2 linked regions of the Astyanax mexicanus genome follow. The protein of the gene in region 1 interacts with the protein of each later gene in a pairwise test. Links are inferred from orthologs where the notes say so. Each region holds a gene or a part of one and is shown on either strand. Other genes may lie near its edges. The genes, in order: nipblb and mau2.

Region 1 (7,662 bases):
AACTAGTTAGCTACTTCAAAACACGAAACAACCGCCAGCTAATTAACTTGTCTAGGATTTGAAATTGAAAACAGGTGAAACAAATTCTCAAAAGTGCTCAAATATACCATGCAGATACATTTACCTATTTACTAAAAATTCCTCGACTAATGGCTTCAATTATGCAGCATATAACAGAAAATAAGCTAAGGCTAACACACAGAAAGAAGCAGGCTTTTTAATAATACTGGTGAAGTGAAAAGGCAACATGAACAGCATTTTTTCACAAAATATTTAGCTAACCTACCTACCAACAGCAAGTAAACCCAACTAGCGTGTAAAACTGTAGAAATGGGCTGTATATATGGAGCTGTGCACTTCTAAATCCAAGTTAGCCAGCTAGCCTCAACAATGTCAGACTCCTGATCCTCAGCTAAGCTAGCAAGCTGGCTTAGTTATGCAAGGCATTTAGCTAGCTGGGATAGCTAGCGAGCTAACAAGCAATAGTTTAGCTATTAACTCTCTCAGCCAACTGATGTAGCTAGTAAAGTCTAATTAGTTATATCTAGAAATGTCGTATAAACATTAGCCAACCACAAAAGCTACATTTACAGCTATTAAACCATTCAAACGGCACTGCACCCGGTGTAGCTGATATGGATTATAAACGGCCAAAATATGCTAAGCTAGCTAGCTAGTTTGCTTCTAATAGTGTAACAGAAATAAAACGCCTAAAAACACAGAAAAAATGAATATTCAATATTCAGCTGGTTCACTAGCTTAATAATTACACAGCTAACTTGATAACTAGCGTTGCAAGTTATTTAGCTAGTAGCAACCCCATTTGTTATTTGCATTTCAATGTATGCTAATGTGTGTTAGCCTAACTGAAACTGTGCCTAGGTCCTGCTTAATTCTGTATTCTGTGAGAGGGGAAAGTCGACTGAACCTTAAAAATATGTATGTGTAACTAGCTAAACTCTAAAAAGATTAAACACTAGCTACAACACATTCCATAACAAGCGAAAACAAGCCTGAGAAAGAGTGAAACACCTTTAACCTGTGTTGTTTTGTTTAGGTAGCAATCAACATGGTGTTGAGAACTCTGAAGCTTTTTCCAATTACAATGCGAGAGTCTGACTGACAAATCTCAGTGTACACAGCAAGCAGTGTTCTTCAAATTCAGTGCTGGAGGTCCAGTGTCCAGCATGGCTTGATGTAACCTACCTACACACAAACCTACTTACTACACATGGTAATTAATAACATAATTTTAGCCAGTTCTGGACACTGGCTCTTCACCGGACTAGATCTGAAGAAGCCTGGTGTACAGAAAACCCTGAAATAGCTAAGAGTATTTGTTTGGTTAGGTAGTTAGAAGCTATGCGATAGTCCTATCTTTAGCCAAATGTCGTTGGTTCAATTAAAATTACTTAACGTTACTGAATTATTCATTCGCCTTTTTATTCGACTCTTTAGCTGCGACCTTGTATACACTCTAGCTAGCTAGATTAGCTGTCCGTAATAATAATAATAATAATAATAAAAATAAAAAGCCTCTTGACTTAAATAAGCAATCTCCTGCGCCAGTGATTCAGATTCAGTGATATAGCTCGTTAGACAGATAGACTACACTGAATACACTGTTGTTTAGCTAGCAGACAGACAAGAAATATTTTTTTGAAAAGCTGCGTGTTGCTTATAATTAGTTAGCTAACAGAGTTAGTTAACGTCCAACACTTTTCCTTCTTGTTCACCATAAGCTAACATACACACACTAATCCTCCGCATTTGTGATTGGAATAACTGGAATTATAACTAGTTATCTAGTAAATGTCAAACAAGTGAACAAGTGAGCTGGAAGTAGAAAAACTAGCGTTAGCTAGCTAACTAGTTTTAGCTAACTCGCTCATTATTTATGTAGCTAGCTAACTGAATGGTGATGCCTGACCAAGACTCACTGACTCACACATACACACAGTAAGAGAGAGTGGGAGAAAACGAGAGAGACCTTTAACTAACCCTAGTCAACCTAACGCTAGCTGTTAAATTCTATGTTTAGTAAGAGCTAACGCCAGCTAACACATAGCTTAGTTAACCTAGCTAGCTAGTTTGTTAGTTAGCTAGTTAGCCAGACACACAGCTAACCTAGCTAACGCTAGCCAACATAGCTAGCTAGCTGTTAAGGCCCTTTCTTCTTCTCCCACCGAATGCAAGCAAGCAGGCTGGCTACGCATGTAGCTGGTTAAACTTCATTTGCTGAAAAACACAGAAGGCGAGCTCCCTGAAAAGAACTGATCCGCTGCCCAATTCCGTTTCAATGACTGCTTCGGCCTTGAAGCGAAGCCGCGGGCTTGCCTGGGGTCGCACACCCGCGGCCCGTTGCCCTACGTCGGCGCGCAAGGCAGCGAGTGTGCCGGCGGAAAGGTAGCTAGAGCCGCCGGCTAACGGCTAACAGCTAGCTAACGGCTAACCAAGCTAGCTAACAGCGATGAATAACACGCAAGTTTGGCCGATGCTCGGCTGCACCGTCCGGCCGTAATGCTGCTCCATCAGCGGAGATATATCTAACGAAGCAAACGGGTGTGGTTATTTACCTCTGGACGTGATGTTGGTTTTTTGGAAAAATAAAAAAAAGAAAGAAACGGTAGCGAAACCCGCTCCGGGTTTGAGTGTCTCTAGCTCCCCTCTCCGTTCACAGCTCCTCCGAGTAATATAACAACAATAATCCGGGTCGGGAGGGTTCGCTCTTCTTCCTTCTCACTGCAAACATGAAGGCTGGAGGGAGGTAAACATTCCCCGCGATCGCTGCTCCTTTCCGCCGGTCCTGCTCCAGCCAGCGCGGACCGTGGGTGGTTGTGTGTTGAAAAGGCGATTTTCGGGGGGTGTTTGGTGCGGCGGAGGGGGTAAGGAAAAGAGAAAACCCTGAAAGACTATTGACGCGGTGATAAAAGGATCCACTCAGACACTCTCCCCCCTTCTCTGGCAGAACAAAATGCCGACCGGAAGCGCTGCTGCAGGAATGACTCCCTCCACCGGCGCCAAACCAACCAGCAGCGACCCGCTGACTTCCGAGGCCACACCGCCAGCCTGCTAATGCTAGCCCGCTCCCCGCGTCCCCGCCGCCAGCCCCGCAGCCCAGCCTCAGCCGCTCACTTTCCTCCAGATACTGTTCTCACACCGTACCCATACTAATAACTTCTGGAAACAGTAGTGTAGATTTCCCACTGATAATAATGACAGTGAGTTCAGGGTCAGTGTGAGGTTTATGAATAATATTTTCTGACCTTTGAGGCTAAATTAGAAAATAAATTATTGGGTGCAAAACTTCAATATTTCATTTTTTCCATTCGGTAGTTATAATGAAGAAGATTTGGGCACTCATACATATTTTTTTAATTTTCTGAATGAACAATCTGAATTTTAGGGAAAATGAAAAAAATATATAAATTCAAATTGTTAAGGGTAAATGAAATGGAATATAAAAAAATAGAAAATTGAAAACACAAACAAATTGAATAAAAAGTATTTATTCAATTTGTTTGTGTTATAACAAAAGAAGCTGTATTTAATTATATCTTATATAGACTTTTGATACAAGATGCAGAAATGGGATGTTTTTTCTTATTTTTTTTTTAACAGATTATGAGAGATTTCTTTACATGTGAAATACATTTAAGATGTATTGTTTAATTTCAAAATGCTATTCAATAAGGAGGAATAGAAAGAAGAATTTGTGGACGTTTGCATACATTTTGAGTGCATTTATAAGCTCAGTATGGGCCATTTCACTCATATAACTTAATGTAATTTATGAAATGACTGTAAAGAAAAATAAAATATCCATAACTAGTTTACTGTTTTCGAATCCTGAAACCTCATGTCTTTACCTGTAGTGTATAACACAACCATTTTCAACGCACTTATGCACACACAAGATCCTCTTCATGTAGCTGTCTAGTTCTAAGCTCTAAGGTTCATATGAACTGCATAGCTTTGCTGCACATCACGTTGTATTAAGGCATCAAATTAGTTCTCTTCGTCTTGATCATTCTCTTAGTCTTGGAGTCCCACCTGAAATGTGCATTTTTAAGTTTTCCCACCTTAGTCATATAAATAGAATTTAAAAATTACTTCTTGAGATGGGAAACATGAATGGGGAAATACAGACCACAGATAAACCTTAATATGTTCTAAACTGTGTCTGCTTTAGTACACACCCTCTCAGAGGCGGTCTTTGCATAGAGGCATTGCTAGGCAACTGCCTTGGGCCCCTCCCACTGCAGCCCACTGTAGGGGCCCCCTGACTAGCTGCAAACTTCCCACAGACCTACAGCTGGTAATTGGGGCCCTTTGGACAGTAATTCACAGATAGTGCGTTCAGAAATGGTGATTCTTGTATGTTTAAAATGGAAACAAAGACAACACAATTAATTACAAAGGAATACAGATTCCGTCCACACCCCCTCTCTTTCGCGTTAAAATAGAATATTCCATCCATGCCGGTGAACCGCGAACGCTGCTTGTGAAAGACGGAATTAAGGTGAAATTAAGTGGGTTGTGAGAAGCCATGCTTCAAAAAGAAAAAAGAAGGAAGAGGCTAAACTAAAAACAGATGCTCTTCCAAAACTGATAAGCTTTTTTAGTGTGTCAGCACCACCTAACCCAAATGTTTTGGTGGAGGAGGGGGACTAGGAGGTGCCGTACTAGGGTTGTGTAGGTAGGGTAAATTCTATTATTTTTAGAAAAATAACAAACGAAAATAAACCCAATGTTAACAAAAATATAATCTAACGAATTTCAAAACATAGAAACGAAAAACGTTAAAATGGTATTGATATAACATAATATAATATAATATAATATAATATAATATAATATAATAACAGCTGGATCAAACAGTTTAGCATCAGTCACAAGAAAAGCGCGCTCTCTCTCTCTCTCTCTCTCTTCAGCGCGAGGCTAGAAATAATTTGAAAACTCATTTTAGTTTAATAAATTGAGATGAGTGAGGACCTGTAAAGTTAATCAAATATTTTCAAATATAAAGGATAAGTTGAGGTTTTGGGGAGCTGTTTCAATTATTTGAAACTGAAACTAACTGAAACTGATATTATTCTGCGCACTAGATATATCTATATATATATATCTATAGATTTTGATTGTGTTTTAAATGAGTTTGTATTTTATATTAATTATTTTTTATTCATTTTAAATCTTTTTAGTATTTTATTGATCAAACACCCTTACACAAACTCTGCCTCCTCTCATATTTTCACTGTACATTTTGATGTGATTGATAATTATTCTTTATCATTAAGGTCAGTTACAATTCTAGATAAAAATTACTGATTGACTCACACAAATGCTCTCAGTCACACTGCTTTACTTTTTTTGGCATTCGGATGTATATTTTATTTAAAGATATGTTTATTGATTGCACATATAAAAAGTACAATTAGAATTGAAAGCTTCAATGTTCTTTTTTTAACTATTTTTTAAAATAAATAACTTATTTCTCGCATATTAATGTTGATGGGCCCCCTAGCTAAATTCGCCTTGAGCCCCCAAATTGCTAAGTCCGCCACTGCACCCTCTTCCCACTGGTTACTTTAGTGTTTCTCATTTAAGAATGTCAAAAACTCACACAAAGGCTTATGTAAGTAAATTATCATAGCTGTGCCACCCATTAAAAACATGTGTTGACATTTGTGGATGTTTTAATTCCACTGACTTGAAATTAGCTGTTATTTTACACTGACTTTCATTTAAAGTTAAGATTTTTTTCTTTGAACAGTGATAAAATAAGCTAAATAAATGAGCTAAAACAATAAAAAAAACTCACCTGCCCATGTTTTATCATGACTACCCACACACAAGACATTACTGTTGCTGGATAATTCAAATGTTTCCAGTCCTAAAACTCAGAATCTCATATCTATTGCCCAGAATAATGTTGTTTCTTACATCAGTTAACCCTTGTAAAATTAAGGGTTAAATTTATAAAAAAATCCTTTCCGCTCACAGGGCGGTGCATTTAACATTTTGATACAGTCTACACTGCTGCTGTATTCTGCATGAACACACATTTCTCTGAACTGAGTCATCATTATGGTCAAGTACTTTTTTTAGGGAAAGGCAAGAAGTTAAATTCCTCTCTTCAAAAGTTTCCCAACTCTAGTGCTTACTCTAACAGTTCAGCTTTAAGGTTTCCTTCTCTAATTCACCTGATTTCTTTTATAAAGGACTAACTTATGATATTACTCAAATGTGAGGATTGTTAGACCATAGCATAAAATGTTTAGTTACCATCTTATTGATGGGACTAGGGCTTTCGTTTATGCACGTTTACTATCCAGGTAATCTATGGAGCCAGTAGTACTTAGCAATATTGTATAAAATGGCACAGCAATATTTTGTTTTTCTGAATCAGTTTCTCTTAGTTTGCTATTTATAGGTATTTGTTTAAGTAAAATGAACATTGTTGTTTTATTCTATAAACTACGAACAACATTTCTCCCAAATTCCACATAAAAATATTTTCATTTAAAGCATTTATTTGCAGAAAATGAAAAATGGAAATAACAAAAAAGACGCAGAGCTTTCAGACCTCAAATAATGCAAAGAAATCAAGATCATATTCTTTCAAGTTTTAAGAGTTCCGAAATCAATATTTGGTGGAATAACCCTGTTTTTTTAATCACAGTTTTCATTCATTTGGCATGTTCTCTTTTACCAGTCTTAAAAACTGCTTTTGGATAACTTTATGCTGCTTTACTCCTGGTGCAAATTCAATTCAGTTTAGCTTGGTTATTATGTTATTAAAGCAAAATCAATGATAAGCAGATCTAATCTGCCTCTGGTATAGATATATAAAGAAAAAATAAGATTTTTTTTCTTTTATACCAAGAAGCAAAGCACATGGTGTATTTTATTTAAAACAAGTTACCTAACTGCCTCAAACTTTAATTCAATCAAATAACTTAAACTGAGATCCACCAAAACACTAGCTTAGTTTATTCGTTTTCAGTCAACAGTGTTCGATAGATAATAATTCTCACACTCTGTCTTAAATATTTATCTTAAAATGTAGAGTTAAATTGAGTGATGGGCCTTTTATACATAAATAATAACCAAATTCTGCTTACCATTTCCTATGGTCTCCGTTTCCCCATCTGTGAATTTGCGCCTTTTCGCTCCCTCGCATTGAGTTCTCTTTCTTTCTTTTTTTTAATTAAGGGGTGAAAATAGCCTTGCTGTGTGGCACGTGCTATTTGCACCCGGGTGCAAATAGACACTCCGTTTATTTTTAATTAGTCTGTGACATTACCTATCCTATGGTGTGACTATAGTGCATGCTCAAATTGCAGTGACAATCCTAAAATGATATATAATGCAGCCCTACTTGCTGATACACTGAATGATACAGTTTTATAAAAAAAAAAAAATGGTCGAATATTTGAAACTGTGCAATTGCACATACAGTGGCTTGGGGCTTAGCTGTTTGTTTTAAAGTCATTGGGTCATGGGTTCAAGCCCCTTTTCTGAATGGAGTTTCCATGTTCTACCCATGTCTCATGTGTTTCTCCTGGAGTCCAAACAGTTTAGGTGAATCAATTGTTTGAAAATTCTCTGCACTGCACTGATTAAAAATAATCAGCATGGTAGTGGTGTATGAGGTGT
Region 2 (8,149 bases), on another chromosome or scaffold:
GGCAGGAACATGGGAGCACAGACTCAGGAAGATGGAGATGGAAAAAACAAGAGGTCAGTGTTTACCTGAACTGTTAATTATAAAGATGTTATATTTACACAGCTTCTCACATCATACAAAAGCATTAGTCATATTTGAAAAGAAAGCAAAAAAAAATGCAATGACATTATTTCAAAGTGTCAAATATTGTAGTATACATTATGAATAATTACACTGATAGCACATATCTAGATTCTAACATATATACAGTCACCAATGAAAGCAAGTAATTCTATGATTATAATGAGAATACCATAATTTACCACCCATGACTAATAAAACCTGGTCCTATTTACAGGGTTCGTACGGTCCCAAAAAAAATTGAAAAGTCATGGAATTTGAAAATAGCAATTTCCAGGCCTGGATTAGTTTTGAAAAAAATAAAAATACCCAGAAACTTGTGGAAAAGTCATGAAAATTTGGTCTACAAAGTTTCTGTTTATCGATGAAGAAAAGCTACTTTGAGCTAACGAATACATCAGCTCAGAGTTATTTAGTAATTTACCCCTACACAATGGTGCTCTCAGGATCTGACACACATTTTATTATTAAAGATTGTGTGTCCAATTAGTTTTAGCCCTACTATAATCCATTTCAATTATAGTTTTAGTTGATTTAATTTTGGTTTTATTTTCCATGTCTGCACTGATGTTTTAAAGATCGTAAATTTGCCTTGAAGGCAAAGTCATGAAAATATCATGGAAATTTATTGGTTAAAATGTATATGAACCCTGTATTTACTTTAAATATTATTATTATATATTTATTTGGAATGTCATCATATGCACCCTGCGACTTTCATTGTATCTCTAATGTTTTTATATTTGTTTGTTATCCTGAGCAGAATGGGCAGAGCAGCTGACTGAGATGGGGAAAGGGAAGCATTTCATTGGTGACTTTCTGCCACCTGACGAGCTGGAAAAGTTCATGGAGACATTTAAGGCTCTAAAGGTGAGATTAACAAAACGATAAAAGCCTGCTGCTAAACTCCAGAGTGTATTCAGAGTACTTTTTATTTTGCATACATCATATTTATGGTGCTGCTGTACCCCCTCAGACATTGATCCTCCTGCTGTGTGCTGTTGCTCTATGTCTGAAGGTGTTTACAAAAAGAATCTGAACTGACTGTGATATTGTTTTTGTCTTTGTGATCTGTAGGAGGGCAGAGATCCAGATTACTCTGAGTATAAGGAGTTCAAGTTGACAGTGGAGAACATTGGTTTTAAGATGCTGATGAAGATGGGCTGGAAGGAAGGAGAAGGTCTGGGCTCGGAAAGCCAGGGCATCAAGAACCCTGTTAACAGGTGAAAATTATCAAAAGCTTTAATCAACAGTAAAGTTTCTTAAATTCTCACACTACAGATAAGAGAAGGGCAGATCAGTGTTTCTGGGGCTGATACTGATTGCTGGTCTCACCTGTCAATATGATAAACACCCATATACACCCACATGACCAGCTTTGATGTTCAACAGCCAGTCACATATTTCGGCTAAACATCATCTAGTACCAATACATAGGCAATCATTTCTTCAATTTCTACTTCAGATTCCTGTGTTCTGCAGGTGTTTGCATGTTCTTTGCTGTAGTAAAATATGCTTCTCTCTGAGCTCTTTATCAAGTATATTACTTTATGTGATTTCTAGGGTTCTTCAGAAAAAAACAATGGCTTTAAACACATTTGTGTTTTTCAGGGGAACCACTGCAGTAGACGGCGCAGGGTTTGGAGTGGACCGACCTGCAGAACTCTCTAAAAATGATGACGAGTATGACGCCTTCCGCAAGAGAATGATGCTGGCTTACCGCTTCAGACCTAATCCCCTGGTCAGTAAAGAGCACAGGCTTGCTTGTGTGAATTATTCACACAGGACCTGAATCTGCAATTCACTATTCTTTATATATTGAGCAACACAGAACATAGGTGAATGTAGTCATAATGTAGTATTTCATGATCTACATGCTTTGTGCATTTTCACTGTCCCAAGAGATCAAATAATCATCATGAAATTTGAATTTGTATGTTATTTATTTTATTTATGAACCATTACAATGCAGTGTTCTAGAAAAATGGGAAAACCTTAAAATTGACAGTACTTTTCCAGTTTTTTTGCAATTGCTCAAAAGGAAGTGTTAAAAGTCCTGAAAATATTTATAAGATCCTGGAAAAGTTGAAATAATTAGCTACTCAGATTATGTGGACAGACATTTGCCAAAAGACAAAATAAACAAAAACAAAGAATTTCCAGTGGGATTTGTATGTTATGTAAATGATCTGCATATAATATATAGCTGCTATCATGCAAATCCATTTTTGAAAATATTTTTTCCATTCTTCAGTACTGTGACAATATTTAGGTATTGAACAGTACGTTAATTAATAATCTTGCCTTTAATTTGCTCATTGTTTTGTAATTTAATTAAGTATTTATTTTATTATGTCCTGATATTATCTTTTTTTCTCCCCTCTCCAGAATAATCCAAGGAGGCCGTACTACTGAAGGGATCGCAGTTGTATTGTGCTGTAGTTTTTTTATTTTAATATTTGACATCCTTGACATTTGGACGTGCAGTTTAAAATGCACACCGTGATGGTATTACAGAGTATTAATGCTTTGCCCGAACTTGAAAATGTCCCGTTTTTCCTTTTGCTTCAGTAGATCATGCTCAAAGACATTTTAGAGGATAATGGCTCAAACCTTCACATGTTCCCTTTTTTAAAAAATAAAAACTTTCAACTTCATAGAATCATACAGTTCAGATTCAGAGTTATCTTAGCTGGTTGTGTATTTTTTCCAAATATCCAAATGGACACTTCACTTGAACTTTTGAGCTGCGCCGATTGTCTTGACAGTATCTTGACAGTGAATTCATCATTATAGCAGTGAAAAAGCTGTTTTCTCTCTTGTTTGTTGTCATATACTGAATGTAATGTGTTCTGTAGACCTCAAATAAAGGTTTAAATGGTTCTCCAACACAGTGTTTTATGTTTTACCATGTTACAGGTGTTGCTGACATACAACACCTAAACAGGCTCCACATAGAAACCTAGTCACTAGGCTGTCCCCAAATTAAAGATGCTTCATATACAGTTAAAAAAGGATATTTTCATTTTGAGGATGCAACTGATGTATCCTTCACATCCCATGGTTACCCACAATTCTCAGCACATGTAAAACATATAGGGAAAAGGAAAAGCAGCATCACAACAATAGTAGAAATAGTACAAAACGAAGCCCCAGAAGCAGAGTTCATTTTTATTTCGCACATCATTGTGTGATGTTTGCTAATGCTGTCACCATTAAGTCTTGTTAGACTTTCACAAATGTGAGACCAATAGGCTACTGAGAAAGACTTTACTTTTAGTGCTGTGAAGATTTGGTTGCATTGAAATCAAATCATTTACTTTTATAGTGTTCATGCTTAGTGATGCTTGATGTCAACAGAGAATCAGACGAAACTGTAAGCAATAAAGGCAAAGAAAAACTCTCTCATAGCTAAAGGAGGAAGAAACCTTGGGAGGAAGCATAGCTAATATATAAGAAGGGCCCCATCCTCCTCTTGTCAGACAACTTATAAATTAATGTTAAAAAGTTATTATACATCCACATGAGTCACATACAGTTAGAAAATTTCTAATGAGAATTTATATAAACTTTAATGTAATTGGTAGTGGAGAGTTAACATATCAGAGGCAGGTGGCATATACTGGGCGGTGGGAAGCTGATCTGTGGTGGGTGACTGGGAAGCCTGACTTCCAAAGACTTCCATTGGTATGAGGCCAGACAGTTGGGCAGTCAGAGAAAGGCAGAAAGATGGAATAACTTTTGACTAGATTTATGGAGAACAGATAATATGCAACATTGTCAGTGTCTGGCTGCTGACCCTGGCAGATCTGATTTGGGGAAGAGCCAAAGGTCACATGCAACACTCAAACCCAACCCCAAGGTGTTGGTTGGATCCCTTACTTCAGAAAATGATAGTTATCTGTGTGTAGAACCACATTTATATAATGCCAGGTTGACCACCAGAGCGGTTAGATAGTGGATGACAATCCTAATGTGTACGGGGGCATTCCCAGATTATCATCCATCGGTATCAATAACTCAGAGAAAGGCAGAAGGATGGGATTTAACTAAGCAAATGATCTAGGGTTGCTGCAGTTGTTCAGGTCTAGGTTCAGCAACAGTATGTGCTTAAAGAATGAGGTCAGCCGACTACCTGAATATATTGAAGAACCAGGATATTCCATCAATGGATTTTTTTCATGCCTGATGGCACGGCCATATTTTAAAATGCTCTGGAGTTGTAAAAGAAATGGTTCAGGGAGCATGAGCATAATTTTTACACATATTGACCACCACAGAGTCCGGACCTTAACCTCATTGAGAATCTTTGGGATGTGCTGGAGAAGAGCTGCTTTGTGCAGCAGTCAGACTCTACCATCATCAATGCTGCTGCAAGATCTTGATGAAAATTAGTGCAACACTGGATTTAAATACGTCTTGTAACATTGCAGAAGCTTATTAAAAAAATGCCATAGTAAATGCGTACCACAATCAAAGCTAAAGGCGGTACAACCAAATAGTATATATAAATAAAACCATAACGATGAACAGAGTTGTTTTAATGTTTCAATTAATTCAATGTCCTTTTGGTATTATGAACTTTATATAAACACAAAAGGCATGTTACATTGGTAGTGAAGACCCAACAAATGATCTTTATCTATATGTCCTAAAAACTATGAAATCTCTCTGAATTCTTAATAAATGTCATTTCTATTGAATAACACTAAGAAACAGAGGATTGTATCACTAAAGGAGTGTGAATCTGCTTTCTGAATCTGGGGTGTCTGAGTGGGGGGACGGCGAAGAGCACTTTAGCTGCTTTTTACCCTTTTTTTACCAGGTTTAAAGGGGAAAAAATAAGCGAAATAGAGAGTACAGATAAATTGTAGATAGCTGAAGGACTCTGTGCGGGGGAAAGCAAGTTCTTAGAGTAGTTTAGAGGCTGGAAATGGGGGTAAAATCTTAGCTAGCGTCCCCTGAGTCCACTCCACTGAACTCTCGCCGCCTGTGCGGAGCTCCGTTCAGGCCGCGGCTTGTTTTTGTTGTTATTGTCGTCAAAATGGCGACTGGCGCTGAGGCCCCGGAGTCCTGGTACCTCGCCCTGCTCGGCTTCGCGGAACATTTTCGCACGTCGAGCCCACCTAAAATACGTCTGTGTGTGCACTGTCTCCAGGCTGTGCTTCAGTTTAAACCTTCGCAGAGGGTAGAAGCCCGAACGCACCTCCAGCTCGGCTCGGTCTTGTACCACCACACCAAGAACAGCGACTTGGCCCGGAGTCATTTGGAAAAAGCGGTAAGAGCAGATCAGGAAACACCGAGGATGCGGCGGAGAGGCGGGCGTGTAGGCCTCAGTGCAGAAAGTGCTGCTTTTTAGACTTTTGACTGTGTGAATTTTAAGATAGACACATTAAGTACGTTGTTTGGGGCGTAAACGATAATTACAGCTTATTTCTAGAGAGTATACACGTAAAACAAACCTAAATGTACCTATACAAGCTATATGTTCCTCTAAAGCTAGCATAAGCTAGCTACCATTCAAAAGCTAGCGCTAGTTAGCTTGTAGGTTATATATACACATCAGGGTATCTGCAGATCCTTAGCTGGCTAGCTAACTAGCTATATTACTCATATTCTTAGAAAATTAGGTTTTAAACGGTTTTAGCTTAAAATTAAGCTTGAATTAATGTTGAAATATCTTGAATACATCTTCCCAAAAGTCTTACACAACACAGAAAGTGAAGAAAATAGGTTTTATACTAACTTAAGCTAGCTAGCTTAGCTTAACATCTTTCAGATTTAGTTGTCGGTAACTTAAAGGCAGACTGAATTAAGTTAACCTAAGCTGACGTGATTTAACTAACAAATCAAGATAAATAACCCCAATTAATCATAATACCATATGTCTAATGGACCATAACTTAATTTTCTCGTGTGTGCTAAACAATTAACTAATTTATGCGTCTTTGAAATGTCGTTTTTGAATTTTTACTGGGGGAAATACAGAGATGTACGTTAGCTTACTCTAGTCTGTGAAGTTAATATTGGTGTTCCTTGCTTTTAAACATGTTCTTATTTTGTTATTTGTTGAGTGGAATTATAAAGTCTTAAACGTATAAAAAAAAAACCTTAATACTCCTGTATTCTCAGTGTATCTTATAGCTAGCTAGTTTAGCTAGCTATGCTACATTAGCCAGTCCCTAGCTAACTAATGTACTGTAAGTTAGTCCCAATATCATATTTGTGTATCATTTTTCACTCTTAACTGTTTCAATGTTAGTTACTTAGCTACTGTTGTTTATTTGAATGGTTTATGTGTGTAAATCTTAGCTGTTTTCGGTGATGTAAGTTAACTGTGTTTGCTTGCTAGCTAGGTACCTAATAACTAATTTATCTTTTTTTATTCTTTCTTTATCTCTTTCAGTGGTGCATCTCGCAACAAGTATCCTTTTGCAATGCATCTACAATGGAGAAAATCGCTTTATTTGGATGACTAGCTTTGTTATATGTATAAATGTCTGTATAATCAGTGTGTGCTTGTGCAAACTGTCAATTAGCTTCCAGTTTCACTGCCTAAAGCAGAACTCAAAAGGAAGGGTACAGATTATGGCTGAACTTTTTGTTTTCACAAGTAATGGCTTTCTTCAGTGTGTTTTTTTCAGTTCTTTCAGTTAAATAGCTGTCTGAGATTATAATCATGTCAGATCTGTAGTAAAAATATAACCTTAACCAGTGTTCTCAGGTCCCACAGTTTGAAGATGTTAAATTTGAGGCTGCCAGTCTCCTCTCGGAGCTCTATTGCCAACAGGTAAGAATTGTATTTTGTGTAATTTTGCGTAATGTATTGTGGACGGTTGCACTGTCTGCAGAAGTGTATGTATGCTTTTTTCTAAATTTACGTAACAAGGATGCTCTAGAACAGCGATTTACAACCCTGGTCCTGTTCCCAATGTACCTGATCTAACTTGTCAGCTAATTTACAAGCCCTTTCTGAGTTGATTCTGTATTCATGCAGTATCAGTGTTTGGGTAAATGCAAATTCTTGATTTGGAAGTTGCACCTTATCATTCCCTCAAGTCATTATTTGTTGTGGAAAATGGGGATATATTTCATATTCAAGAACAGAATCAATATTGGATGGTACTTAATCGTTTTTTTGTTTTGTTTGTTTGCTGCTGCAAATTATTTTAACCTGTAATCTATGTGCATTTAACATAATGTTGAGCAGTAAATGTGGTGTTTGAGATGGAAACACTACATTTTGTAGATTATGGGGTCCTCCAGAGTGAGAGTTGTGAACCACTGCTAGATCTAGATCACTCGCACATTAGTCTAAGATTACTGTCCCTGGACCCAAACTTTGGACATTAAAAGTCCACAGTTTATTGAATTGTAAATATTGTTGTTAATATTGATGAACAATAATAACAGCTGATTCAACAGATCTTCTGATCTTACTGATTCTCTTGTGGCTGAATTTCATCAAATTCTTACAGTGATGTTACAGCATATACACTTCTGGGCAAGTTTCACATTATATTTTGTTACTGCAGTGAAGGGGGGTAAAGTCATTGTTAATACCCTTTATGTTCATTGAGTAGGTGTCTATATCTGAGAAATTCCATGTCATTTTATTCCTTTCTTGACAGAATTTGGTTGATTCTGCTAAGCCTTTACTACGCAAAGCCATTCAGATCTCCCAGCAGACTCCATATTGGCACTGCAGATTGTTATTCCAGCTAGCAGTAAGTGATGGCATGCATTCCTTTACATCATTTTTTGCAATGTTTTAACAGCAAGTGAAACATTTCAAGGCTTTATCTTGAGCATCTGTGTTTTTCTTCTTCTTTACTTTCTTGTAGCAACTGCACACACTAGAGAAGGACTTGGTGTCTGCGTGTGACCTGTTGGGTGTAGGTGCAGAATATGCCAGAGTCGTGGGATCAGAATATACCAGGCATGGATTATCATATTATAAAACAGTCTAGAAAAATATATTTTTTATATAAATGAAGTAAGTCTAATTTTATAATGTTTTCTTTGTAAT

The links.
Region 2: the proteins of nipblb (region 1) and mau2 interact in binary tests that used the Homo sapiens proteins (3 or more experiments, as listed by UniProt). The link is inferred for Astyanax mexicanus from reciprocal best matches to the Homo sapiens genes NIPBL and MAU2.

What each region holds. Positions count from the first base shown.
Region 1 is NC_064427.1:4,596,422-4,604,083, forward strand, and holds the start of nipblb (nipped-B-like protein B), read right to left. Parts: upstream 3,074-7,662; 5' UTR 2,577-3,073; intron 1-2,576. UniProt on the Homo sapiens protein: Plays an important role in the loading of the cohesin complex on to DNA. Forms a heterodimeric complex (also known as cohesin loading complex) with MAU2/SCC4 which mediates the loading of the cohesin complex onto chromatin.
Region 2 is NC_064411.1:47,985,782-47,993,930, reverse strand, and holds the start of mau2 (MAU2 chromatid cohesion factor homolog), read left to right. Parts: upstream 1-4,902; 5' UTR 4,903-5,164; coding exon 5,165-5,398; intron 5,399-6,526; coding exon 6,527-6,544; intron 6,545-6,844; coding exon 6,845-6,910; intron 6,911-7,751; coding exon 7,752-7,847; intron 7,848-7,964; coding exon 7,965-8,059; intron 8,060-8,149. Other genes in the region: sugp1 (SURP and G-patch domain-containing protein 1), read left to right, coding at 1-53, 884-990, 1,198-1,343, 1,732-1,861, 2,509-2,535. UniProt on the Homo sapiens protein: Plays an important role in the loading of the cohesin complex on to DNA. Forms a heterodimeric complex (also known as cohesin loading complex) with NIPBL/SCC2 which mediates the loading of the cohesin complex onto chromatin.